Oryctolagus cuniculus: one gene and its partners. The protein of the gene in region 7 interacts with the protein of the main gene of each other region in a pairwise test. Links are inferred from orthologs where the notes say so. Each region holds a gene or a part of one and is shown on either strand. Other genes may lie near its edges. The genes, in order: MEMO1, DPYSL2, CRNKL1, CEP57L1, ITSN1, GNB1 and DISC1.

Evidence for each region.
Region 1: the proteins of DISC1 (region 7) and MEMO1 interact in a two-hybrid assay, tested with the Homo sapiens proteins (2 studies listed by BioGRID and IntAct). The link is inferred for Oryctolagus cuniculus from reciprocal best matches to the Homo sapiens genes DISC1 and MEMO1.
Region 2: the proteins of DISC1 (region 7) and DPYSL2 interact in a two-hybrid assay, tested with the Homo sapiens proteins (2 studies listed by BioGRID and IntAct). The link is inferred for Oryctolagus cuniculus from reciprocal best matches to the Homo sapiens genes DISC1 and DPYSL2.
Region 3: the proteins of DISC1 (region 7) and CRNKL1 interact in a two-hybrid assay, tested with the Homo sapiens proteins (2 studies listed by IntAct). The link is inferred for Oryctolagus cuniculus from reciprocal best matches to the Homo sapiens genes DISC1 and CRNKL1.
Region 4: the proteins of DISC1 (region 7) and CEP57L1 interact in a two-hybrid assay, tested with the Homo sapiens proteins (2 studies listed by BioGRID and IntAct). The link is inferred for Oryctolagus cuniculus from reciprocal best matches to the Homo sapiens genes DISC1 and CEP57L1.
Region 5: the proteins of DISC1 (region 7) and ITSN1 interact in binary tests that used the Homo sapiens proteins (3 or more experiments, as listed by UniProt). The link is inferred for Oryctolagus cuniculus from reciprocal best matches to the Homo sapiens genes DISC1 and ITSN1.
Region 6: the proteins of DISC1 (region 7) and GNB1 interact in a two-hybrid assay, tested with the Homo sapiens proteins (2 studies listed by BioGRID and IntAct). The link is inferred for Oryctolagus cuniculus from reciprocal best matches to the Homo sapiens genes DISC1 and GNB1.

The regions. Positions count from the first base shown.
Region 1 is NC_091433.1:170,928,575-170,932,074, reverse strand, and holds part of MEMO1 (protein MEMO1), read right to left. Parts: intron 1,586-3,500; coding exon 1,443-1,585; intron 1-1,442. UniProt on the Homo sapiens protein: May control cell migration by relaying extracellular chemotactic signals to the microtubule cytoskeleton. Mediator of ERBB2 signaling.
Region 2 is NC_091433.1:47,650,439-47,653,938, forward strand, and holds part of DPYSL2 (dihydropyrimidinase-related protein 2), read right to left. Parts: intron 3,397-3,500; exon of another isoform or gene 3,256-3,396; intron 2,244-3,255; coding exon 2,155-2,243; intron 222-2,154; coding exon 37-221; intron 1-36.
Region 3 is NC_091442.1:44,663,046-44,666,545, forward strand, and holds part of CRNKL1 (crooked neck-like protein 1), read right to left. Parts: intron 1,730-3,500; coding exon 1,551-1,729; intron 154-1,550; coding exon 1-153. UniProt on the Homo sapiens protein: Involved in pre-mRNA splicing process. As a component of the minor spliceosome, involved in the splicing of U12-type introns in pre-mRNAs.
Region 4 is NC_091436.1:62,308,330-62,312,571, forward strand, and holds the start of CEP57L1 (centrosomal protein CEP57L1), read right to left. Parts: upstream 2,801-4,242; 5' UTR 2,664-2,800; exon of another isoform or gene 2,357-2,663; intron 1-2,356. Other genes in the region: SESN1 (sestrin-1), read left to right, coding at 3,844-4,122. UniProt on the Homo sapiens protein: Centrosomal protein which may be required for microtubule attachment to centrosomes.
Region 5 is NC_091435.1:11,216,616-11,220,115, forward strand, and holds part of ITSN1 (intersectin-1), read right to left. Parts: intron 3,199-3,500; coding exon 2,951-3,198; intron 568-2,950; coding exon 408-567; intron 1-407. UniProt on the Homo sapiens protein: Adapter protein that provides a link between the endocytic membrane traffic and the actin assembly machinery. Acts as a guanine nucleotide exchange factor (GEF) for CDC42, and thereby stimulates actin nucleation mediated by WASL and the ARP2/3 complex.
Region 6 is NC_091438.1:163,893,230-163,897,351, reverse strand, and holds the start of GNB1 (guanine nucleotide-binding protein G(I)/G(S)/G(T) subunit beta-1), read right to left. Parts: upstream 2,801-4,122; 5' UTR 2,529-2,800; intron 1-2,528. UniProt on the Homo sapiens protein: Guanine nucleotide-binding proteins (G proteins) are involved as a modulator or transducer in various transmembrane signaling systems.
Region 7 is NC_091444.1:51,179,735-51,184,033, forward strand, and holds the start of DISC1 (disrupted in schizophrenia 1 protein), read left to right. Parts: upstream 1-1,499; 5' UTR 1,500-1,584; coding exon 1,585-1,645; intron 1,646-4,299. UniProt on the Homo sapiens protein: Involved in the regulation of multiple aspects of embryonic and adult neurogenesis. Required for neural progenitor proliferation in the ventrical/subventrical zone during embryonic brain development and in the adult dentate gyrus of the hippocampus.

The DNA of each region.
Region 1 (3,500 bases), on a different chromosome or scaffold from region 7:
ATACTTTCTGCCAAAGGCAGCACATCAACTAACCAACAGAATTTGTTCTTAAGAAATCCTGAGAGCTCCTCTGGAGTTGAGGAAGGAAAAACAGCCACCTGCATATCCTAAATCTAGGTTTCCTGCCCTCAGCACTAATGACATTTTGGGCCAAGTAAGTCTTTGATGTTGAGGGTAGTCCTGTGCATTGCAGGATGTATAGTTAGCAGTTTCCCTAGACTCTAGTCTAGTTTCCCTAGACATCAGTAGTATTGCCACTTTCCAAATCCCATCCCTGCTGTGAAAATCAAAAGTGTCTTTGAAGTATTTTCATAAACTGCCTAGGAGGTGAATTAATCCTTTTTGAGGATCAGTACCTTACAAAAGCTTTACGTATATCATTACGGACTAAAGTCCTCTTGAACTGATATCTCAACACTAAGAAGCATTCAAAGGGAGAAGAAGGAAGAAGCTACCATAAAGTAGCCAGACAAATGTTGAAATCAATTCAGGCAATCAATGCGTAAAATACATTAAAAAAGGCAAGGCTCCCAATACTGAGGATGTTATTTTGGCCATCCTAGCATTCTATCTTGGAACTGATGGTCTGACGTCCTATGTTTCCTACAATAATCAAAGAAATAAGTGATGACTAAACAGATGTTGGCATCCTTGAACCAATGAACCAAGGAATAAACGGGTCAAAGAGGCGTCTTAAGAGGAACAGAACTCAGAAATATTCTAGGACATTAATAGATAAATGAGAGCAAAATTTATCCAAAGAAAGCTAAAATAAAATCTACTGACAAAGTCATCCAAAAATTTCTCACTTCCTTCTTGATTTATTCACTGTGAAGCGTCCTTACTCTCTCAATTCACAATAATCACAAAAATCACTTAAGAGTCCTTACCCTTATAAAGCATTACCAATGAAGACCACAGTGCTAATAGCCAACGTGTTACAATCTTTGGAGGGTAGCTCTAAACTGATGGCAATTGTGAGCAAAAAATAAGCACCGAAGGAAAAAAAGAAAGAAAGAAAGACTAATTACAAAAAAGGAAAAGCAGAAAAGGACTGGCATAGCACACAGTGCTCTTCTGCATTCTAAAGAAGAGCATTTGTTTCATCCACCAAAACTACCTTCAGAGGACCTACCACACATACCTACCTGAAAATGGGGTTAAAAGGTCTTAACTCCCACTAAGAACAGTTCTAAGCAAGGATACCCTCACAGTGTGAATCCAATTATACCAGTCGCCTTTGGAAATGTATCCATAATCCACTATTATAATCTGATCCTTTTTAATGATCAAAAGACTTTTTCATTCACTTCTAAACACTGCTGCTAAAAGTAAACTTTCCAAGGAAAGTGATAAAGACTGACAATCAGCGTTTAGAATGAAAAGATACCTTAAAGCACAAGTATATAATCTACCATGATACATTAAAGTCTAGAACTTACCCCAATGGCAGAAATCAGAAGAAACCACAAAGAGATTACTAGGATCCGCTAGATATTTACTGAAGAGTTTTCCGAATTCCTGTTCTTTTGACTCACTCAGAGCTCCAACCAGTACAGGAATAATGGTAAACTCATCCTTATGGCTTAAAGAAAACAGAAAAAAAAAAAAAAAAAAAAAGGCAAAACAGTCATTCTGGATGTTTAAGAATAGAAACAGCTTTGCAAAAATCTTAGCACTAGAAAGTGGAATATTTATTAATAGTGGTAAGAATAACATATATTACTGTTGAATTTTTTTAAAAAACTATAAATTAAATGTTTAAAGAACACAACTTTAAAATATGAGATGTACAGAATACTAAAAATACTGAAGAAAATTACAGAAATGTACACTATTTCTTTAGATAAAAAAAAGTTATGTGACTATCAAGTATAATAGTACCTTCAAAAATAAAAAGTCCATCAGACCATCACCAATTCAAGTCTCGTCAACTATCCACCAAACGCTACCATCATCTGCCCAATCCTTCCAGGATCTTAAAAGCATTAAAGTCTTCCTCATCTATTTTAATCCTTTCATCATAAATGCCAACATTTCTGGCATTTGTTCTGTAAGCCTGCCAAATGAAACCCACAAAACTTTACCTTTGCTTCAATAAGACTGACCAACTACACTTGTACACTTAGCCTAAGGATCAAGATATAACATAGGCTGAAGATATAACTCAAATGTCATTGAAATCTAGGATAGACAAAGAATTCAGGAAGTATTAATTTCTAGCAGCAAGGAAAAGACACCCTGGCCACCCACAATGTTTATAGCATAACCACAAGTCCTTTTTCACTCTAAATTGATAGATTTATGGAACAGGAACAAAGTGATTTAATAAAGAATAACTATGACATGTTATAGATACAGCCATATATCCAAAATCTTTTTCTTAAATTTTTATTTATGTGATACTAAACTTACATACCAAGGTACTTCAAAAACTTCGTGGAAATGGAATTAAAAGACAAGTTTATTTTGGTACAAAAAATTTTGAAATCTGTGCAATATATAGGGTCTTCAAAATGTTCAGGGAAAATGTGTAAGATAAAAAAATTACTCATGGATTTCAATTCCTTGGCACCAACATAAACTTATCTTTTAATACTATTTTTGCACAAACTTTTTTAGTACCCTCATATATTCAATATTATTAATAATCTAATGTTCCCAGATTTGCAATTTTAGAACATAATCATCTTTATCTTTTTCTGAACAGGACTTTAAAAACAAACAAAAAAAAAACCACCATTATAATAAATGCTTTTTAACATTATAATCTGGCACTTAACTAATGTAGGGCAAAGAGAATTCATAAAAGGGTTTTTTAAAATACTAAGTTTAAGTAATCCCAAAATAAATGTTAGCCCAGCTGCATAAAGCTAAAGTCAGGGCACCCAAGCGCCGCCCCCAAAAAAACCCCCTTACCCTTGTCAATTGCGAAATAAACAGATCATACAGATCTCCAGTCCCTCTGCAATGCAGGGGCTTCTTGGGCAGAATCTGCATCTATGGAGTAAGAAAAAAAAAGGAAGCTGGCAGAGGAAGCTGCCATGGGGATATCTTTTCTTCTGACTCTTACCAGTTTGCTAAAACTACCTAAATAAACAGGGGCTCCCGATTAACTGTGAGTATCAATGGAAAGAAAAGAATTTCAGCCCTTAGTAAAAATGCAGGAAGATTGTTTTGAATTAGTCTAACCTCAAGTACTACTATAAAAATAAACATTTATATCATCAAGATTCTACAAGTAATTATGATATGATAGAGAAACAATTATATGGAGTACAAAGAACAAAGAGAAGCCAGAAGAAACAGGTTAAAATATCATCCTCATACTAATGCTAACAGATGGTTAAGATCCTAACCTGAGAACTGATTTCTTTATCTGTAAAATGATCCTAATTACAGTATTTATGAAGGGGATCTTCAAAAAGTTCACCAAAAATATCATGAAACGATTATGGATGGATGGATTTCAAAAATTTTTGGAACAAAATAAATTTATC
Region 2 (3,500 bases), on a different chromosome or scaffold from region 7:
CACAGACTCATTTTCAAATATTCTTAATTTTCTTACTGATCATGGTGGTCCCCCCAGCCAGGGCCGCCTTAGTCCCTTGGAAGAAGTCATCAGCAGATGTCATTCCTTGGTCGGGCATCTGGAACCGAGTGTGCACGTCGATTCCTCCCGGGATCACCATCCTGGAATGGGCTTCAATGGTCTTCACCCCTCCTGGCACAATCAGGTTTTCTCCTATTTGCCTAAATAAACAGGGTTGGTGACAGGGTGGTAAGTGCAACGTGGAATCAAACAGGATCAGCCAAAAACTATCTTCCAGACACAGAATAAGTGAGAAACAAAACTCAAACAGGCTTCAGAGGCTTCATTGAAAGCAGTTTAGCTACCAAGAAATGCCTAAGATGAAATGATAACAAAGGCCCCAAAATATTTATATAAAATGTCACTCAACTTTCTGCAACACACACATTCAAGCTGATTATCATATAGTAATGTTCTTCAGATCTGCCTACGCTTTCTAAACATTTATTTTCAATATAGCCTTTTCAACAGAAAATAGGAAGAGTGGAGGGAGACCAAAAGAGCTAAAAAAAAAAAGTCATGAACACTGTGAAATGTGTTGGGGTGGACCTTTGGCACGGCAGTTTAGACCCCGCTTGGGACACCTGCATCCCGTATCAGGGTGCCAGGGTTCAAGTTCTGGATCCACTTCAGATTCCAGCCAGCAGACACCCGGGAAAGCAGTAGCTGATAGCTCAATACATGGGCCACATCCACCCACGTGCGAGACCCAGATTGAGTTCCTGACTCCTGTCTTTGGATACCCAGCTCTTGAGGGCACTGAAGAGTGAACCAGTGGATGGGAGATCTCTGTCTCTCTCTGCTCTTCAAATGAATAAAAAATGAAAGAACAAATAAAAGTGTGTTTGATGTGGAAGCATGCTCCCAGCAACTCAGAGAAACAAAGGCAGAAAAACGAATATTCATTATGTTGGGGCGCATGATTCATGTCCAGTTTCTTAAAAAAAAAAATAGTGTTCATACATCTTTCTACCAATTTTCTAGAAAAGAAAATTAAGGAAGAGGGGGGTGATAAGGATCTAAGACACGTTAGTGACAACTAAAAATAGCATACAGGCCTGCTCCCTTCTAGGCCAATGTCCTGCCAGACCAGACTGTACGCTGGCTGCCTCCTAACCGAGGGGGAAATGGAACATGAAAGTCACAGCACTGGGGAGCTGGCAGCTGAGACTGTCACAAGCAACGCGAATGGAGAAGACATTAAATACCCGTATGGAAATCTTACAACCTACGTAATGTTCATAAATCGGGATGAGCTTCCAGGCAACGGTCATCTCCACTCCAGTTTTCCACTCCTCCGGACTGGCTTGCTGCTAGCCCTTGATGAATGCTGCTTATTTAAAAGATGTCATTTGCTGAATGTTTTTCTTTAAACAGATGTGCTATCTCTCCAGAGCCCTGTGAGCTGTCCCAGTAGGAAGGGCGCAGGGCACTGGTACATACTCAGCTCATTTAACCTCTGAGGCCAAAAACACCCAAATGCAGCAACTGCTGCGTTGTTTCTCCTTTGCAGCATAATACACAGTCAACACAAGGGCATTCCTGCTTGTGCTAGCTGCCTCTTAACGCATGAAACCTAGAGTGCCCCGAGGATTAGGCAGTGATTTGTGTGTGCTACTCAGTAATTAGCTTGGTGTTCTTCAGCCGCTCCAGCGTGGATTTCTGAGTGAGAAGACAGACGTGCTATCTCAATAGAAAAGGCCGTATTCCACATCTGTGCCCCAGGACGGGGCAATCCAAACAACTACATTCTAGGAAAACCTTCAGCATGTACCTGAACATGTACATGAGCCATGTATTTGAGCTGGCAACAAGAAGATATTGTGTCACTTCCACTAAAAATAGCAAATCACACAACACTCATGTATAATGCAATGGATGTGCATTCAATAATGGCTTTGAATTCCCTCAATCTGAGGTTTCCTGAGTTCACATATCCCCATCATCAAAATGGCCTTAAAGAAAATACTAAATTGGTCACTTGTTAAAGACATTTAAGCTTGAGACTCGGGGGGTGAATGGTAGCTAATGCTTATGAATGAATACTGGGACTACAGGCTGCAAACACATCTTTGCACAATGGGCTACACTTACTTGATCAACCCATCTTCCATGTATATGTCTGCATAGAAGGACTGGTCATCGTTAACAATTTTACCTCCTTTGATCAGAAGACGATCACTCTGAAACAAAGAGGGAACAAGGTCACAATGCGTAACTGACCCCTGAGAAACACAGGGCCAAAGATAAGTGAGCCCAGGGTGTATTTCACTATTCAAAAATGAGGTTCAAATGAGCCAGTGTGGGGAGGTTCAGTGACAAAGGTGAGCCGGTGTGTTGTAACCTATTCATCAGCACCTGATGAGTCACACGCTGCCAAGGCTTCCTGTAGATAAATGAACCATCTTTCTATTAGACCCTAAAAAAAAAAACCTCCTATTGAAGAACACTGAAAACATTTCAGATAAAGAAGTCAATGCTTTTTAAGTGGCTTTTGGCTAAATCTCATTTAAAAAAAAAAAATACACCCACACATAGGAAAGTCACATCTCCCTGAGATCTGTGTCCAGGAAAATCGACCAAAAGTCTGTTGTCATGGGATCCACTACACAAACATACTTGGTTCAACCACAGCAAGGTTTCAATTCACTGTGTCCTTCATTCACATTTATCTTTGAGGAAAATCATGGCAAGTGTTGTGGAGTGGGGGTGGGGCAGGGATACCACAAAAATAGACCAGTTCAACCAACCTGTTAAGAAAACAGTAAAGCTTCATGATGAGATATGAGAGAAGGCAAATCCTAACACTACTATAGGTTGCTGGTCCACTTGTGTTTTCATTGGTGATATTTGTGCAAAGCCAAGAATGTACCGACATGGGACACCATGACTCATCGCTATCCCACATGCTGTTGGTAGAACGGAATGCTAAAATCCTGTTCAGTAAATATGCACCTGCGTTATTCCAGACTGGGCTTAAACCTTACAAACTAAGCCATATATTATTCTTTTAACATGCAACATATTTCAAAAATCATTCTGCCAATTAACTCAGAAGTCAACTACAAAATAATACTCAGTAAGAGCTATTTACGTCTAGTAGCTGCCAAGAAACAAATATCATAGAGAATCCTTTTGTAAACATGTATAAGCGCCGGGAAATCAAATACGTTTGCACACAAATGCACAGGCACGTGGGTTTAGAAAGTATTTATTGTTTCTCTAACATACTGAAAGCCATCCATCGATGGTTTTAATTGTGTACACTGTGGGATTCTTCATCCTGATAGAGACCTTAGAAAGTCAAAGGGGAAGAGGCGACAGCAATTCCTGCACCTGTAGGAGGTAAACACGAAAACCTTCACAAAATCCTGTCGGGTATATTACCCCAGCACAGCTTCCAGTGAGGCAGATGGAGCCAGATTCTATTCCCCCAACAC
Region 3 (3,500 bases), on a different chromosome or scaffold from region 7:
CTGGAATCTCCGTTTGCTCACGATGATGTCTTCAATACCGCGCCTGTCACCAAACTTCTTCTCAAAGATGGTGTAGTTCTTAAAGAGCTCTTGGGCCTCTTGTTTTGAAATTCTATCCAGGGCATACTTGTAGATCACTCGTACCCTTTCAAACTAAAAGCAGGCAGGATTAGCTTCTGTAACATAATGTTCTCATTCTCGTCACAAACTGGAAAGAGTAACTGTGGCATAAAATACCTAAAAGTCAGATATAAATAAAGGCTTTCCTCTCTCATTGTTGAAGGTGTTTGTCCAGGGACTGAGACTTGGCTTGGAGTTCCACATTGAATGTAGTCCACTGATGTGGCCAGTCGGATGGCTGCTGCACCTCTCAGCTAAACAGGCCCCAATCTGAGCTGCTCTTCTCTCCACTCACCCATCAAACCAGGCTCTTTCCCACACTTTCCAATCTTAGTAGACAGCACCCACAGTCTCACGTGCTCACATTAAAACCCCAGGGGTCCTCCTTCACTCCTCCCCTCCCACATTTCCACATTTCAATCCTTCAACACACCCAGCCATTACTACCTCTTCAACACAGCTCTTCTCCCCATCTGCCCACCTGTCTCCACGCTTAACTGAACCATTCCCAAAGTCTCCCTACTGGTCTCCCCTACAGACATATTTGTCACCCCCTGCCCCCGAATTTATTCATCATGAATCAGTCAGAGGCTCTGGGCCTAGCAGTTAAGACGCTGCCTGGGACACCCATATCCTGTATCAGTGTGCCAAGGTTCGAGTACCAGCTTCACTCCCATGTCCAGCCTCCTGCTAGTGCACACCCTTGGAGACAGCAGATGACGGCTCCAGTACTTGGGTCCCCACCACCCTTGCAGGAGACCTGCACTCAGTTCCCAGCTCTTGGCTTTGTCCTGGCCCAGCTGAGCTGCAGCTTTGTGAGTGTTTGGGGAGTGAACCAGTAGATGGGAGACCTGTCTAAGCCCATATTTCCAGGAAATAAACAATGATCTAAAAAATGTATAAATCATATCCAATCACTCTCCCACATAAATCCCTTCACTGCTTCCCTCTGGCCTCAGGTTCTAAACCCCCTTGCATGACCCATGCAAGTGTCTTCCTCTTTCAAATCTGTATTACTTGAGCTACTTGGAAGAATTATTTCCCACATACACACACTATGGAAGAAAAGATTGGACTTATTCATGAGGCAATCCGTTTTCATTCTAAATTCTGTTCTCTAAGGGCTTCCAGCTTTGTCTCCCAGGTTTATTACCTTCTAATCACAGGACACCAAACGAGTAACTCTCAGTTTACACTCAGATTTAAAGGCTAAATTGCAAAACAAAATTAAGACAGCTGTAATACAATCTGCAGTCACTCAACTTATGCACATGCAGCTTGGCCACACAGGCATGCTGTTTTCTGTGAGCAACTGTTTATTTTGAGAACATTTTCTCTGATAAGAAAAAGTAGAAATGAACACATAGTGCACAAGATGCGATACTTACTCTAAGTTTTTTTTGCAACATAACTAAGTTAAGCAAACTTACTTCTTTCTGGTTTTCTTCAAATTTGGCAAAGGCAACGTAAAGGTGTTCATCCATATGCTCATCTCCGAAGAACTCAACAGCTCTCTCGTACACTTTCCGTGCGTGTGCAAAATAAGCATGTTTCTCTTCAAAGCGGGCATATTTGATCCAGTTCTTAACATCAGGGTGCACGAGGACGAGTGGAAGAGAATTAAGGAACTACCAGGCAAGGCAACATGACTTCAAAAACAACAGAGTGGCTGGCGTTCGGTCTAGTGTTAGGATGCTGGTTTGGATGCCCACGTCTTATGTCAGAGTGCCTGGGTTCAAGGCCTGTGTCTGGCTCCTGACTGCAGCCTCCTTCTGACGCAGAATCTAGGGGCAGTAGTGATGACTCGAGTAATTGGGTCCACAGACTGAGTTCCCAGCTTCCAGCTTCAGCTTAGCCCAGCCCCAGCTATCACAGACATTTGGGGAGTGAACTGGATGGGAGCTCTCTTTGCCTTTCTCCGTGTCTCTCTGCTTCTCACACAAATAAGTAAATTAATAAACACTCAGGGGTGGTGTTGTGGCATGGTGGGTAAGGCTGTCACCTGCAGTGCCAGCATCCTATATGGGCGCCAGTTTGAGTCCCAGCTGCTCCACTTCTGATCCAGCTCTCTGCTATGGCCTGGAAAAGCAGAGGAAGATGACCCAAGTCCTTGGGCCCCTGCACCTGCGTGGGAGACCTGGAAGAAGATCCTGGCTCCTGATCAGCACAGTTCTGGCCCTTGTGGCCACTTGGGGAGTGGGCCACCAGATGGAAGACCTCTCTCTCTCTCTGCCTCTCTGCAGCTCTGCTTTTCAAATAAATAAAAATAAATTAATAAACACCCAAACAATAATTCAAACTAGAACCGTATGGGTGATGAAACACATATTAAGTTGCGGTAGAATCTCTTCTAGTACTCATTCAATAATCAGCGGTAGGTACAAACAAGAGCTTAGTGACAAACAGAAATCTAAACCCAGGACTCCAGCCATGTCATTTTGGACAACACATTTAACTTGATAAGTTTCATTTTTTTCATCTGTAAATAGGGAAAAATGCCAATCCTACTGGATTATTACCAGCTTTAAATTAGAAAATGTGTTAAACCCTTAGTATAATTTTTGGACAAAAGAATGTAGCCATTAAATGGCAACATTATATATACTCAGTAACATTAATATTAATATTTGAACTATGGGGCCAGTGCTGTGGTGCAGCAGGTTAAAGCCCCAGCCTGCAGGGCCGGCATCCCGTATGGGCAGCAGTTTGAGTCCCGGCTGCTCCTCTTCTGATCCAGCTCTCTGCTATGCCTTGGGAAAGCACTGGAAGATGGCCCAAGTACTTGGGGCCCTGCACCTGCATGGGAGACCTGGAGGAAGCTCTTGGCTCCTGGCTTCAAATCAGCTCAGCTCTGGCCATTTTGGTAATTTGGTGAGTGAACCAGTAGAATGGAAAACTTCTCTCTCTCTCCCTCTCCGGCTCTACCTCTCTTTCTGTAACTCTTTCAAATAAATAAATCTTTAAAAAAAAAAAATTTTGAACTCTGGGGCCAGTGCTGTGGTGCAGCAAGTTCAGCTGCCACATGAGATGTTGGCATCCTATACAAGCACCATTTAGAAGTCAGGTTGCTCCACTTTAAAAAATTTAATTTATTTGAAAGAGTTACAAACAGAGGTAGAGACAGAGAGATCTTCCATCCAGTGGTTCACTCCCTAAAGGGCTGCCAACAGCTGGAGCTGAGCTGATTCAAAGCCAGGAGTTTCCTCTGGGTTTCCCAGGTGGATGCAGGGGCCCACTGCTTTCCCAGGCCATAGCAGGGAGCTGGATTGGAAGTGGAGCAGCTCGGACTTGAACTGATGCCTTTATGGGATGCCAGCACTACAGGTGAGGGCTTTATCTCGCTGTACCACAGTGCCAGCCCCTGGTTGCTCCACTTCTAA
Region 4 (4,242 bases), on a different chromosome or scaffold from region 7:
CTGTGGGGAGCAACTCGGACTAGACTGTTACTGGAATTAAGACTTATTCTAGGCCGGCGCCGCGGCTCACTAGGCTAATCCTCCGCCTAGCGGCGCCGGCACACCGGGTTCTAGTCCCGGTCGGGGCGCCGGATTCTGTCCCGGTTGCCCCTCTTCCAGGCCAGCCCTCTGCTGTGGCCAGGGAGTGCAGTGGAGGATGGCCCAGGTGCTTGGGCCCTGCACCCCATGGGAGACCAGGAAAAGCACCTGGCTCCTGGCTCCTGCCATCGGATCAGCGCGGTGCGCCGGCCGCAGCGCGCCGGCCGCGGCGGCCATTGGAGGGTGAACCAACGGCAAAGGAAGACCTTTCTCTCTGTCTCTCTCTCTCACTGTCCACTCTGCCTGTCAAAAAAAAAAAAAAAAAAAAAAAGACTTATTCTATGCATCTGCTCTCCCACAATATGGCGCTGGGAGAGGAGGAAACAGCTTCTACACAGCTGCCTCCAGTTCAACCAATAAACAGCAGGACCTGCTCCTGATTGGAGGAGAGCAGCATACTCGGCGTGTGGGTAGCAGAGTTGGGATTGGTGGAAGAGGACCATAAAGGAGGAGAGAGACAACATGCACCAGGAACATCTGAAGGAACACCTGAGGAACATCTGAGGAACATCTGAGGAACATCTGAGCAGCCTCCGAGAGAGCTGGCCGGCGGTGTGCCGCTCCCCCGCGGAAGTGGGGAAAGTGGCAGGGGGAACCGCCCTTCCACCTCCTTCCCGGTAGCAAACCCGGGAGGGCCGAGCAGACAAAAGAACAGCGCAGGGTCCTGTGTCGTTCCTCTGCGAAGAGGGGGAGCGACATAATGGTGCCGTGACTCGGATATGAAGCCTAGGCAGGGTTTAGTGTCGTTCCTCCGTGAAGAGGGGGAGTGACAAATGGCTTTGGTTTTGCTTTTGAAGATCAGTCTTAAGAAGTTATTCCCTTTTAAATTTATTATTCAAACCAGTAGCTTTAGAAAGTAAAGCCAAATTAGGTCAATTAGCTGAACTGGCTCAAGGGCAGATCACTTACTCAAACTGTCTAAAAAAATTCAATTCACAGTACCTCTCTGCAGCTTCAAAAGGCTGTTCTGTCCCCATCTCCCAAATACATACGATTTGGCTTACTGCAGTTTCCTCAAAGCACCCTATCTCTCATTTCTGGCTTGTTCTTTTGGCCTTTACCTCCCTTGAAATAAAGATTTCCCTAACTTTGCACATCTGGGCTACATGATCTCCTTCTAGCCATCCTAGCAATACCAGATTGCATTGCAAGTGCATATTTAACCACTGGTTCTCTAACTAGATAGGACTGTTCCTTTCTCAGTTGTAAATACTCAATGCTTAGGAAGCCTAAATTTTAGAAATACATCTATTCTGCAATACGATGAATTAAAATCGACTCAGATTATTGGTCCACTCATGGCCTTTCAAACCTCAACTTTTCTCAAGCTTAATGACTTTTTTTTTTTTTTTTTAAAGAATGACTCTTTTAAAGATACTAAACTTGGTGGGGTTATGCATCATCTTCATGGCCTTCCCAGAATTCACACTTAGGAATATTGAGGATACTTTTCCTTTCAGTCTTATATAAGGCACATTTGACTACTTGCTTTTAAAGCGCTGTTGAAATTTTTAAAGATTTATTTGAAAGAGTTACAGAGAAGGAGAGGCAGAGAGAGAGAGAGAGAGAGAGAGAGAGAGAGAGTTATCTCCCATCCAGTGGTTCACTTCCCCATATGGCCGCAACCAGACAGGAGCCAGGAGCTTCTTCCGGGTCTCCCACGTGGGTGCAGGGACCCAAGCGCTGGGCCACCTTCAGCGGCTTTCCCAGGCACCTCAGCAGGGAGCTGGATCAGAAGTGGGGCAGCCGGGGGGACTCCAACAGGCGCCCATAAGGGATGCCGGTGCTGCAGGCGGCGGCTTTACTCCAAGGCACCACCCCAGATCTTATTTAACAAAACAAATAAGCCCACAGAACACCCCTGGAGAAAGGCAGAAAACAGTGCAATTGCACAGGGATTTTTAACCCATCCCGCGCGTGTCCACAGGAACCGGCAAAACAGACAGCAGCGCGGGGCCCCCTTTCCAACGCATCTTTCCGTCGTGGTCTTAATCAGGCCGCTCCCACAGACCCTCGGGATCGCGACCCCCAAAGCCTCGCCTGACCACGCCCCCGGACTCGGGGCACCTGCACCAGTCCTTCTCTCGCAGGTCACTGGGAAAAGTCCCCGGATAAGGACCGCAACCTTAGACGGCTTGGTTTCCCAGGTTCCAGAGGAAATGGAGGACGGAGAAAACCCTATCGAGGGGAACATGACGAAAAAGCGCGCAGTGCTTACCAGACCGACGCCCTGGGGCAGCCGCTGCCTCGGCTAACCAGTTGGTTCACAGGCTGCCACATTCAGGTCGCAGTGGCCTCTGGGGGTTGTAGTTTCTGTCGCACACAGACAGCGCCGGCATCATCAGAACCACATTTCCCAGAAGTCAATGCGAAAGTGCCCTGCCTCCTTAAACCTGGAGCTCGCCGGCGCTATTTTTAGGCTAATCTTAAATTTTTAAATTCTTCCAAGGGCGCGTCCGTGTCCTCCTCCCCTGCTTGTGTATAACTCGTGTGTGAGCAAGTCTCAGCACATTCCTGCTCCTTACTTTTCCTCCCTCTTCTCCAGGACAGACTCCAAACGCTCAGGAACGGAAAACGCCCCTCGGCGCGCGCCAAGTGGTTGGGAAGGCGCATGCGCCCTGCCCGCGGTCACGCATGCGTAGCACCCGGCAGCGGTTTGGCGGCCGCGCGCAGCGGACTTGGGGTCTGGAGAGGTAGCCTGGCGGAGGGCGGGGCTTTTTCCAATGGCTTTGCCACGGCGGGTCGCCGCTGCCTGGGCGGGGAAGAAGGCGCTGGGGCAGGGGCAGGCGGCTCCCGGTTAGTGCCGGGCGGAGAAAGGGGAGGGGCTGGGGGGTGAGGACCCCATCTCCCCTCCCTGCTCCCGCCTTCTGGGCCGAACCCCACAGATGGGGCTGGACGAAGGGGCGGGCTTTGCGCCTCGGTCGGGGCCCAGCCGCTCCCGCAGCTCCGAGGACTGCCGAGGCCGCCCCGTGCCCTCTGGCTGGGCGGGCGGTAGGCGAGGGCACAGGGGCCGGAGAAGCGGCGTCTTCCCGGGCGTCCGGAATCGGCCGCGGCCCGGGCCGCTCTCCTTGCCCTTCTGCACGGGGGCTGCGGGAGCCCCCCTGCCGGGAGCGCCCGAGTCTCGGGCCGGGCCGGCCACCGGGCCCGGGGTCCGGCGAACCTTCGCCGCCGGCGTCCAGCGAGCGGCTGAGGCGCTGGGCGGCGCGCGCGGAGGGCGGGACCAGGCGCCGGAGGAGGGGCGGGGTGGGAACGCCGGGGCGAGCCGTGCGGCCGCACAGACAAAAAAAAAAAAAAAAAAAAAAAACCGAATGGCTGGAGCGCGTTCCGCTGCCAGCAGCGTTTTTGGGCAGAGCGCGGATTTGACAGCTCGACGACGTGAGGATATCCGCTGACCCCGCGAGGCCGAGAGCACTTCCCCGAGACTCCCCGTGCCGCGAGGCTGGCGCTGGGCGGACTGCGACTTCCCAACTTTTTTGTTTTTTCCATCTCCGACCCGAAGAGCGCCCCGTGGGTGAAGGAGAAGGGTGAAAAGGGTGCTCGGTCTTGCAGATCGGTTCTGGTTCCCAGCGTCTCGCAGACGTCGTGTTATGACGGCTGCGTTTCGCCCCGGTTTTAGCCGCACGTGCCCCATGTAAGGGCTGCGGGGCGCTTTGGGGGGCATGCCGAAGGGGGACTGAAGACCGTCCAGGCAGAAGCCCGATTGCCATGGCTGAAGGGGAGAATGAAGTGAGGTGGGACGGACTGTGCAGCCGAGATCCCGCTGTCCGAGAGACGGCCCTGGAGAACATTAGGCAGATCGTTTTGCGAAAGACCGAGTGTCTGCGTTCGCTGGAGGGGCCACCTTCTCGTCCACCCGACGGGCATTCGGACGCCGCCTCTGTGGACGGGCTGAATAAGCTGCTCGCTCGGCTACTGATGCTTTCCAAAAGGTGTCCCTTTAAAGACGTGAGAGAGAGGAGTGAGTTTATCCTGAAGAGCGCCCAGGTAAGGAAGCGCACTTTAAGTACGTTGGTCTCTGTGGTCCAGGGACATTTTATTCTTGGTCATTCCCTCGGCCGTCGCTTCCCGTGGGTCGTTTGGTGAGTTCACGAATTGACGCTACCT
Region 5 (3,500 bases), on a different chromosome or scaffold from region 7:
GATGGGCATATCCTGCTTGGCTGAACTGATTAATTTCACTCCTTTATCTTTGCAGGGTATTTCAGAGCTCCCCGGTTTGTTTTCCAGTGATCAATGGCCTGGCCAAGGGAATGAACGTGATTTTCCATGCACACGCTTGGGTTTTCTGCTTTAAAGCCCCTCCTCACTGCTTCTGCCTGAAATGCTAGCCCTCTGCATTTTCCAGTACGACCCTTACCACTGGGCAGGGCTGCCCTGATCAGCTCAGGAAGGGTCGACTCCCCCTTCTGAACGCTGGTCCTTCCCAGCGCATTTCAGACTCCCGGACCCCTTGTGATAAAGCCATCCCAGAAGCACAGAGCAGAGCTGACTTCTGAACGGCAGCACCAACAAGCACCTGCTGGCTGCAGGGCACCGACTGCCCTTACCTGGCCTAGCACAGGAGAAGGGGAGGAGCCGGTGGCTGTGGCTGGAGTAAAGGCCGATCTCTGCCTTAACTGGCCGGCGCTGGGGACAGTGAGCGAAGGCTGGGCTGCCCACGCATCCCAGTTATCCGTTTCTGGTTTTTCATTCGTGCTGCTGGGCCACCTGGAAGGAAAAGTACACCACCATCAATGGTAACGCACTTCCGAAAGCTTTCCACCCAGAGTTCAGTGCTCAGTGAGCCCGTGTAAACACAAATCCAGGATTTCCTGTTTATTTATTTAAAAGCAGAGAGACAGACACAGAAAGTCAGAGACGTAGCCCCTGGTTTACTCTCCAAACGTTCACGACAGCTGGAACTGGGCCAGTCCAAAGCCAGAAGCTCGGAACTCAATCAGGATCTCCCCCATGGGTGACAGGGACGCATCACCTGCCACCTCCCAGGGTGTGCATGAGCAGGAAGCTGGAGGGGAAGAGAGCTTGGGCTTGAATGGAAGTTTTCTCATGGGATGTGGGCAACCCAAGCAGAGTCTGACACGCTGAGCTGAGTGCCTGCCCCATTTCTGCAGCTCTCTACAGTTAAAGAACAAGGAAGAGAGGAAAGAGCCCTGGGCTTAGGATTCAGTCTGAGCTTCGACATTAGCAAAGGCCATTTAGCAAACTAAAGCAGTCTCTCTGACTCCTGGCTTCCTCATGGGTAAAACAGGAACGATACTCTGCCCCTTTTTTGTTTCGCTGTGCGGGACCCTCCTTACATGATCATTACCGTCAGCAGTGACAACTGAGGAATGAAGAAGTTAGGAAAACAGCACCACAGCCAAGGCTTCCCAGCACCTCTTCTTTCTCCGTCCACCCTAGGGCAGACACCTGGATGTCTGGTCATTGGCAGGGGCATCCTTACAGCAACCAGTTGTCTTGGATCTTAGGGAGATAGTTCTAATTTTGTGATTTTGTGATATTACAATTTTAGACAAACGCATCTGTGCGAGTGCAGATCTAAACGCAATTTTTGTGTTTACATCTTTGTAAGACACGTAAACACAACTGGAAAAAAAATCAAAACAACTGCTCTGTTAGAGCACACACTCTGATTTTTGGTTTGGAAAATAAAATGTCCATAATTATAGCAGGAGAACTGCACACTACACATTTATTGAGGAAGAATGTCCTACTAATTTAATCCACAGCAAAAACAAATCCTGGAAAACATGGTATTACTCTTCTATTTCAGGCTAAGCTTCAGGTTAGAAAGTTATAACTTCTCAATCGAGATCAAAAGAGGAAGGGACAGTTTTGACTTGGAAGTCCTGCTAATGGGAGGCGACTGTTTTTTAAAAGCAAACTTTATATAGCGAGGATCTTTATGGCTTTCAACCTCTGATATGAAACTCTAAGTATGAAAAACTGGCTATCCTCAAATCCTCTCCTCCACTTCCTCCTGCCCCTGCTAGTCATTCTCCTTTCTTCCCTCTATTTGTCCCACCTGACCCTTCTCCTGCAATACATTTTGATTCCTTAACTTCAACTGGTTTCTTCTGAAAGATGATTAGATTTGAAGAGAAATCCTCCCCCACCCCCAAGCACTTCTCACTCAAATCACTCTTATTTGCATACTGGTTTCAACTAGTTTCAGGCAACTACACATCTAGGTCATGGCCCTGTAACTAGAGGTCTGGACAGCAGGCTCCTCTGTCATTTCAAACCTCTACTTCTTTGCTGTTTTGCTAAATAACAGCGGTCAAGGACACGCACCTCGTCACTCCACTGTACACTTGCACAAGACTAATGAAAATCGAAAGCCTGAGAGGAAACAGCTATCTTATTCAAAACCACATGACTGAATGCAATTTCTGTTTCTGCCCAGCAAGAGAGTCCTATTTAAATTCATGCAGGAAATGACTTGGAATATTTGCTGACAGACATGGATGTCAAAACAGATGACAGTGTTCCCTCGGTATCCGTGGGAGATTGGTTCCAGGACCCCTGTGGACGCCGAAATCTGCAGGCGCTCAAGTAGTATTTATACAGAACCTACACACATTCTTCCGTATGCTTCAAATCAGCTCTAGATTATTTATAATGCCTAAGGAAATGTAAATGCTATGGTAATATTGCTATACTGTGTTGTTTAGGGAGTAATGATGAGATAAAAGTCGGTATGTGTTCAGTGCTAACAAAATGCTTTTTCCTGACCATTTTGGCTCAGCAGTTGGTTGAATCCACAGATGAGGAGGGCCAACTGTGGTAGGAAACTGTATGTCTCCATTTCATCCAGAAAAATGAAAGAGATACACAGATTACAGAATGAAACAAGATAACAGAGTATATTTTGTGCCAGGGTTAAACCATAGTTGGGCAATGATTCCATTAGATCCAGTTCAGAGAATGTAATACACAATCTTCCTGGGAGACAATGAGAGAGAGGGTAATAGGAACAAGCCAGCTTCCTTAACACGGAGAGACAACCACACCATAAAGACACAGAGAGAGGAAAAATGATTCCTGAATTGATATTTAAAAAGCATCAGAAACAGGATGTCACACATACGTGGAGCTGAAGTCGGCCCAGTTGTTGGGGGTGGTGGAGGGCTCGGAAGAGCTCACCACTGAAGGGGCAGGCGTCTCACGCAGAGCCAGTTTTGGGGCAGGGGCAGATGTGGCATCAGTCACTGGTTTGGCTGGAGTGGGAACCTCGTTTTCTGGTATTTTCTCTGCATAGTTTGCAGGGAACCATCCTGTTTTTCCTTTTAATTCTCCTCCAAGCCATCCCGGTTCTCCAGTTTGGCTTTCATCCACCTGTGGGAAAGACAAGTCACAACATCTAAGTGGAACTAAATCCACCCCGGAACACAGCAAACAGCACCCACCATAACAAAGCCCCAAGCCTCCTCCCTGTTTTGACTGACACACAGCACAGAAATGTTTCCATCCTCATCTAAATGTCTGGAAAAATGCTCTGTAAACATTAATCGTGGGAAAACAGCAAGCACAACAATTCAAGTTCTAATTCTTGGTACTTTTTTTTGACAATCAAGACAAAGTGCCAGAAGTACCTGGACAGACAGTCTAAGTTTTCAGAGTTATTTTGAATTGGACAG
Region 6 (4,122 bases), on a different chromosome or scaffold from region 7:
GCCTTCAGCATTCCAATTCTAGTAGGTTACAGGATACAGAATTAACCTGCCCCTTGATAAAACGCATTACGTTCGCAGTGATTATTAAATCATAATCATCTCTCATCAGTGGCACAACAGGCTGAATTCTCGGGTAATTCTAAGAATCATTTTAGTTAAGTCTCGTCTTTTAAATTAAGCTCTTCGGAAAGGCTCCTTCTCAGAATTCCGATTTAAGCTAATAAGGGAATACGTTCACTCAGTCTCACTAGCAGCGAGCAAGCAGCCCGGGTCCACGGAAGGCAGCGCCTGCACAAGGACACAGGACGGAGCTGAGGCGGCTCCTCGCCTCCCCTGGCCGCGCACGGCTCGCGGCCCGGAGCCGCCGCACTTCCCAGGTGCGGGGTCTGAAACAGAGCTCACAGCTGTGGGGCACAGGCGCCCCGTCCCCCGCAGCCCAGCCACAGGGCCCTGCGCTCCCGTACGTATACACACTCCTTCAGTGTGAAGTCTCAGCCATGTAAATCATTTCCCTGTCTCAACACACATTCGCTTTTATTACAGATTTATTTATTTACCTGAAAGGCAGAGTTACACAAAGAGAGGCAGATACAGAAAGATCTCCCACCCACTCACCCGCCGGTTCACTCCCCAGATGGCCGAACCGGCCAGGGCTGGGCCAGGCTGAAGCCAGAGCCTGGAGCTCGGTCAGGGCCTCTCCCGTGGGTGCCGGGGCCCAGGCACCCGGGCCTCCCTCAGCTGCCCTCCCAGGCGCACCTGCGGGGAACTGGCTCAGAAGTGGAACAGCCGCTGGGGCTCAAGCCCCTGGATCTGTTCTCATCCCCCCATTTCATGTGAAACCGCTTCGTAATCCCACCACTCATTTCCATCAGCAAACACAAACCTGAAACCAGAATTCAAAACAGTGTTTAAAAATAATCTAAAGAACCCTGTCCACGTCTTACGAGACTTGCACTAAACAGGGGTTTCAAAATCATATTGCTTGCCATATGGTCAAGCCCAGATAATAAAATTGAGCCTATCTATTACCAATCCACTAACGCTGAAGCCAAAGCCGCAGGCAGCAAGAATTTAATCCAATTTGGAGACTGACATGAGCCAAATCTCTCGGGCGGAGAAAAACAATCCAATGAAGAAGCTACAGCAGATGCCAACACTGCACTTCCGAAATGAGACCAGTGTTCCTCCTCAGAGCAGGATGAGCCAGAGCCCACTGCTGCCCGCGGGGCCGAGACCCCCACCCTCCCCGCCGGCCGTCTGGGGGCCACACTTTCCCGGCGCAGCCAAGAGAAAAGTTCAGGGCGCGGCCCCTGCCCGCAAACCCGCCTCCGGCACCGGGCAGGCGGAGCGCTCTCCGCTCGCTGCTCCGGAGTGAACACGAAACCGACCCCTCGCGTGCCAGGCAGCAGGGTGGGCGCGGGGCCACCTCCTCAGGCGCCCCCGGCGCGGATTTCCACGCAAGAAAACCCCGCAGCATCCTCGGGGCCCTCGCCGGCCCCGGCCGGGCACCTGCACTGCAGCTGCGGCCCTCGGGCTCCCGCCCAGCCCCGCCGCGCACCGCGTGTCGCCGGCCGGCGGAAAGGGAACTGCTCCCTCGCCGTCTGGCTGCCGCGCACCCCCGGAAGCGCCCGCATCCTCACGTCCAGACGGCGCTCCTTCCCTCCAAAAAGCCTGCAGCTCCACCGGAGCGGCACGCCACGCACACGCCACGCGTGCCCCGGAGACCCAACGCGCTGCCCGCAGCCGCCTGCCATCCCCGCACCGGCGAGCTGGCCGTGACAAAAGCCCAGCTGTCTCCCCCGGGCAGCGACGGTGACAGCACGGTCGCACCGACGGACACACGCAGCAGCCCACCCCGCGCCCACCCGGCGCGCCCCGGAGGGCTCCTCCCGCGGCCGGCGCCCCGCGCCGCAGCGCCCCACGGCGCCCCCAGGACGAGCGCGGCCCCCAGGACGAGCGCGGCCCCCGGAGCACGCGCCCCCACGCGGGACGCCCAGGGCCGCGGGGGGCCCGCAGCCCGCGGGGCCGGCGACAATGGCCGCGCCGCGGGGTCGCCATCTTGGCCGTGGGGCCCGGACGCGGCGCCCACGCCGCGCGAGGGCCGGGGTCGCCGCGGGGTCTCGCCCGCCCGCGCGGCGCTGGCCCCCGAGCTCCGGGCCGGGGCGGCGCGACCGCCGAGCCCGGGGCCGCCCGCCGCGGCCGCCCCTCCGCGCGGCGGGGCTCCCGCGGCCCGGGGCGCGCCAGCCTTTGTTCTCGCGGCCGCGGTCCGAGCCGCCGGGCGGGGGCCGCCCCCCGACCCGCGCTGGCCCGGGCGCGCCCTGGCCTCGGGGCGGGCTCGGACCCCCGCCCGCACCCCCGCCGCCTCCCGGGGCCCCGCAGCCCCACCCGGGCGGGGCAGGAAGACGCGGCCCGGCCGGCGGTGGGGGCGGGGCGGGCGCCGGCGGGCAGGGGAAGGGGCCCGCGGGGACGCCGGGGCACCGGGGACCGGGCCGGGGGGCTCGGGGCTGGGCCGCGGCGGCCGCGCTCACCTCGGCGCCCTCGCCCGGCCTGACGCCCACGCCGCCGCCGGGGCCGCTCGAGGCTGGCGCTCGGGCCGCGCTGCGGGCGCTGGGCAGGTGCGCGGCGAGGCTGTGGGTCCGCGGCGGCTGCTCGCTCCGGCCGCTCCCGCTCCGCTCCCGCCCGCGCCCGCCGCCGTCCGCCCCTCAGACGCCTCCAGCCATCGGGATGGGCGCGGCGCCCCTGCCCGCAGCTCGGGAAACCCCACGCGCCGCGTCACCGCGCACGGCCGCCGGGCGCGCGCACGCACGCGCGCTCCCCGAGCCGACGCGCGCGTGCGCGGGGCTCTTAAAGGAGCCCCGCGGCCCCGGCTGCGGCCGGACCTAGGCCCTGGCTCCCCTGCTCGCGCCGGCCGGCGCCCGGAGAGCCGGTTCTGCGCCGCGCACGGGCCGAGGGCCGGCGCATTGCGGGAGACGGCGCCGGAGGGCTCTGGAGCCCGGTGCCCCCGAGTGGCCTCCCGCGAGGAGCGACCACGTGCGTGCCGAGGCCCGACAGCCGAGGCGCGGGCGCCGGGTGGGGAGGGCGGGGGTCGCGATGCGTCCGCTGGAGCCTCGGGGGCCGTGGACTCGCTCCCCCCCCCCGTCCAGCTGGTCTGGCCGCGGTCCCAAGTCCAACCCGAAGCCCCTTTCCCCGGGCGTGCGCCCGTGCAGCTGGGCTCGCTGGAGCCGCGGCCTGGACCCTCCACACCGCGTGGGCCCCGCGTGAGGCGGCTGCCAGGCAGAGGGGGGGTGCGCGGACCTGGGTGTGCCACGGAGCACGGGGAACCTGCAGGATCTCGCCAAGGCCCACCCCACGCCGCGGGGCCCATGTGCGGAGGACCCTCCCCCCGCCCTGCTGACCCCCACAGGAAGGCTCCTGACTGTGTGCACCAGTGTGGGCGTGTTCTCCTGCCCCCCCCCCGCCCTGTGACTCCAGCTGCTGGCTCCGGTGGGGTCACCGCCCCAGACATGTTGTCCTCTGGCCCTGGCCGCCTGAGACCCTGACCGACCCTTGCCCCTGCCACAGTGCGAGGCCGGCCTCGCCCACCGCTCCCCGGCCCCACCAGGCATCCCCGGGAAAGCCACAGCAGGTGTGGAAGATGTGGGGTGATGCTCGGCTGTGCCCAGCACAGGGACACCATACAGTGGGCCCTTGGTGGGGCAGCTTCACTGGCCAGTGGAGTGTGAGTGGTGGGCACAGATATGGGCCTCAGGGAAGGGCTGGCGTGCTGGGCAGCCCCAGGGCCACGGGGCAGTGGAGCCGCAGAGGGGTGGATCTGGGCATTGGAGGTGGGTCCCGGCCTCAGTGCCCACCCGAGGTCCAGGACACAGGAACGTCGGCAGGGAGGCGGAGGGTGCAGCGCGCAGGCCAGAGCGGGCAGGGGCTGTGTACGTGGACGCCGGGAGGCTGAGGGAACCCGGGACCTCCAGCCCAGCCATCCAGGGCACTGGGCACTCCACACCGTGGGCCAGCCTGGTGCCAGGGCTCCTCTGGCCCATGGCTGGGCCATCCCATTACAGCCAGGGCCACGAGGCTGGACCAGCCGCGAGGGGTGCAGCCCTGGCACCTCCGGCTACCGGCAGGGCT
Region 7 (4,299 bases):
CTCCTCCTTTGGTTGACACTAAGCTTAAGGAGACTCTACAGTTGTATGCATTTGTAAAAGTATAATATGAACAATTAGTGAGGTTCCAGACTTGTGTAACTGTAGTTAAATAGTCATTGTATTTTCTTTTGAACTGTGTTTAATAGTTTTACCTCAAAACAAAACAAAATACAGTGCTTTTGTCAGTTAATGATTTTTTTTTTTTTTTTGGACAGGCAGAGTTAGACAGTGAGAGAGACAGACAAAGAGAAAGGTCTTCCTTCCATTGGTTCACCCCCCAAATGGCTGCTATGGCCAGTGCGCTGTGCAGATCCGAAGCCAGGAGCCAGGTGTTCCTCCTGGTCTCCCAAGTGGGCGCAGGGCCCAAGCACTTGGGCCATCCTCCACTGCCTTTCCGGGCCACAGCAGGGAGCTGGCCTGGAAGAGGAGCAACCGGGACAGAACTGGCGCCCCAACCAGGACTAGAACCTGGGGTACCAGCACCGCAGGCGGAGGATTAGCCTAGTGAGCCACTGCGCTGGCCCAGTTGGTGATATTTTTTAAGCTCTTTTTTTATTTTTATTAGACAGGTAGAGTTATAGACAGTGAGAGAGAGAAAGGTCTTCCTTCCATTGGTTCACTCCCCAAATGGCCCCTACAGCCGGCGCACTGCGCCGATCCGAAGCCAGGAGCCAGGTGCTTCCTCCTGATCTCCCATGCAGGTGCAGGAGCCCAAACACTTGGGCCATCCTCCACTGCCTTCCCAGGCCACAGCAGAAAGCTGGAATGGAAGAGGAGCAACCAGGACTAGCCCTTTCTCTCTGTCTCTCTCCTCTCACTGTCTAACTCTGTCAAATAAATAAAATTTTTAAATAAAGAAAAAAAAAAAACCACGCCTTGCCCTTCCTTATCGCACTGTTCTGTAGCATGAATTACATGGGGGATTCTCCTTGGCTCTTTTGAATGAGCCAAAGAGAAGGTGTTAGTAGGCGAGTCAATGGTGTAGATGCTTGGAACTGAACTAGACGCTTGCAACGGACTGTGGCCTGCCCAGTGCTGCCAGAAGAGTCTAAAAGCTGGAATTCTTTTTATTTCTAAACAACCGCTTTCATGCTTATCCTTCGATGTCACCTTCGGCACTTGCCCTGCACTTGGAATAAAATGAGTCTACCTGATGCTAACTCCCGCACTCACATTTTGGTCACTTCCCAAGACTAGGCATCTGGGAAGAACCTTGCTAAGGTCCTATGCTGAAGGCCGCTCAGCCTTTCCTGCCTGCATCTCCCTTGTCCTGCTTCTGTCCAGAAGGGATCCAGAGCGAAGAACAAACTTTCTGGGGTCCCGAGGTACTAGGCACCCACCAAGAGCCTGCCCGCTGCGCCTGTCCCAGCCAAGGGACTGGATGTATGCTTGCCCTGTGTGTGACCCAGTTGCAAAGGAAACCACTGCGCTCTGTAATGAGAAGGAAGGAGCCTCCCTCTTCTCCCTCAGCCCCCTCCCCACTTCCCGTCCAGAGCGCTACTTCCTCCCAATCCGCCTCCCTCGGCCCGGGGACCGGAGCAGGAGGCAGCCAAGGCGGAACTGGAGGAGCCAGCGGCCCGGCACATGTTGCGCCGGGGTCCCCAGGGCGCCCCGGCCGGCGGAGGCGGCGCGGACCGCGGCGCAGGTAGGGGCTCCGCCACAGCAGCCAGAATGGGTCCCGGGAGGTCTGGGCCGGGCCGGAAGTGCGCCTTTCCCCCTCAGTAGGTCTGGGCGAGCCTCTCTTCACAGCTCCAGTTCGGTGCGCCCCTTCAGAGGTGCGGGAAACCGCAACAGGGCGCGTAAGGTGCAGGTTTGGGAGGAGAGGGTCTGGGGCTGTCAGCTCTGTGCCCAGCCCTCCAAGTCCCTCCTGGCCCGCAGGACTCTGCAGAGCAGTCCGCGGCGGACCCATGCTCGCGTCTGACGGGTCCTGGGCGGCGGCGGAAGGCCCCAGGGGCGTGCTTGGAGTTGGGATGGGTCCTGTCCATCCGTACCCCCGCAGGACAGAGCGGCCCTGCACGCCCTCGCCCGGGACCCGCGGGACCTGGAAGGTGGAAGTTGAGAGTGGGGTAAGGAGCTGGTGAGGGCGCGTCCTCCACAGGCCACGGTGCAGTTTCATTGCAGGCTTGGAACTTGGCGACGGCAAAGCCCTCGCCGGAGCTTCGGCGGGACACCACTGCCCAGACCCTGATTACACCGTCAGCTCGCAGTGGTGACACTGAAGTCATGGCGTAGATGTTTGCTTTCCAAGCATGACAGGACTTGTATCTCTCGCTCTTAAAATACATGCAGAAGTATTGGAAACTTTCTGGAGACCGTGAGATTTGGAGTCAGGGTGTGCATTATGTCCTGGGTGCATCCCTTCCCTCAGAAGTCACAGTGGCCACTAATGACGGGGTCTCCCTGCCTCCTTGGGTCTATGGATGTGAAAGCACTTTGCTAAAAGTGTCTCACTGGTTACACAAACGTGAGCTGGGAAACACCAGGGCCATGAAAGCTGGGAGTTGGAGACAGTGTCTTTGCTTCTCAATCCTGGACTTAGCTGTGCCTCAGTTTCCCCACTTTTAAAATGGGGACCATGACAGTACCCCTTTCCCCAGAGGGTTGCTGCGCCGTTTCGGTGTGGTGGTGGATGTGAAGCCCCTAGCTCTACTCCAGAGACAGACTGCAGGATGAAAAGACTGTCGTTGCTAATTTTCCTAAGTAAAACTGAATACTGTGGCGTTTAAAGGAATACTGGTTTGATTTAAGTACGAAGAGTAGGGTGCTGTAAAAGACCCTGGGTTTTCTTGTGCTCAGGCATGACGCATGGAGTCCCTTGAGGTTCAGTTCAGACTCTGCCACAGAACAAGAACCCAGCCCTGGACAGTAGACCTACTTTGTGGGCTTTGTGACCTTGGACCTCAGTTTTTCTTAACTACTTACAAAAAAAAAAAAAAAAAAAACAAAAAAAAACCAGAAAAGGGGAATAGTAATTCCTGCCATTTAGACCAATAGTGCTACCTGAGGTTCAAATAAAGTAAAACATGTAAGACATCGTGTGGAACAGGAGTCACTGTGCACATACAGGACATCATATTACTAGCAGGAATCCTAACATCTGCAACTTTTTACAACTTCCAGATGTGCTGGGAGCTCTACTGTGCATTCTTTTGATGAACTCTTCCCCAAGCCTTTATGGGGCTGGTAATCAGTCCTTGTTTTCCTATGGCAAAGCTGAGGTTCAGGGTCACCTGCTTTTTTCCCAAGCTCACATAGCTGTTCAGTGCAGAGCCAGCAGTGCACCCCTGTGTGGACACCTCTCCCCATTGTCTTTTCAACCTCTGACTGAAAAGATGTTAGTGAATGGAGCCACGGTTCAGAGCAGACCTGTATTAGATCATAGCTAATGATGCACCCTGCATATCATAAAATGGATGGGTAAATTATTAGCCCTGCATAGGTGACTGAAGAAATCGGAGATTTCTTTCATCCCTATTTCTGTAAAATCCGATGCAGGTTATTCTCTTGAAACAATGAAAAACAAAGGCATGGAAAGCTTGAAAGAACGAATGATGATCTTGCAGATCTCAGAAGAAGTGGAATCTGGATTAATACTTTAACACCTAAATGTGTCAGGACCCTAGGATGGCACACGAGGTGACGCTGGGATGAAGGCTGTTGGTGTCAAGGTCACCTCACAGGGCTGCATCCCAGGATGTTTTTGTGGAGACCTCATGTTCAGCCATGATGCTGGCAGAGGGAAATTGAACTTTTTTTTTTTTTTTGACAGGCAGAGTGGACAGTGAGAGAGAGAGACAGAGAGAAAGGCCTTCCTTTGCCGTTGGTTCACCCTCCAATGGCCGCTGCAGCCGGCGCGCTACGGTCAGCGCATTGCGCTGATCCGAAGCCAGGAGCCAGGTGCTTTTTCCTGGTCTCCCATGGGGTGCAGGGCCCAAGCACTTGGGCCATCCTCCACTGCACTCCCTGTCCACAGCAGAGAGCTGGCCTGGAAGAGGGGCAACCGGGACAGAATCCGGCGCCCCAACTGGGACTAGAACCCGGTGTGCTGGCACCGCTAGGTGGAGGATTAGCCTAGTGAGCCGCGGCGCCGGCGGGAAATTGAACTTTAAACAGAAGAGACTGAAGATCAGATCTTTGTGCTGCATTAACAACTCTTAGTTCACTTGTTTCCTAAATTAAGTTTATTACTTTTTTTTGTTTTTCTAAAAGCAACATGTATTCATTACAAGAAGTAGAGAAAACTCCAAACAAGTAAAAACGAACAAACAAACAAACAGTAAAACCACTGAAATCTCACTA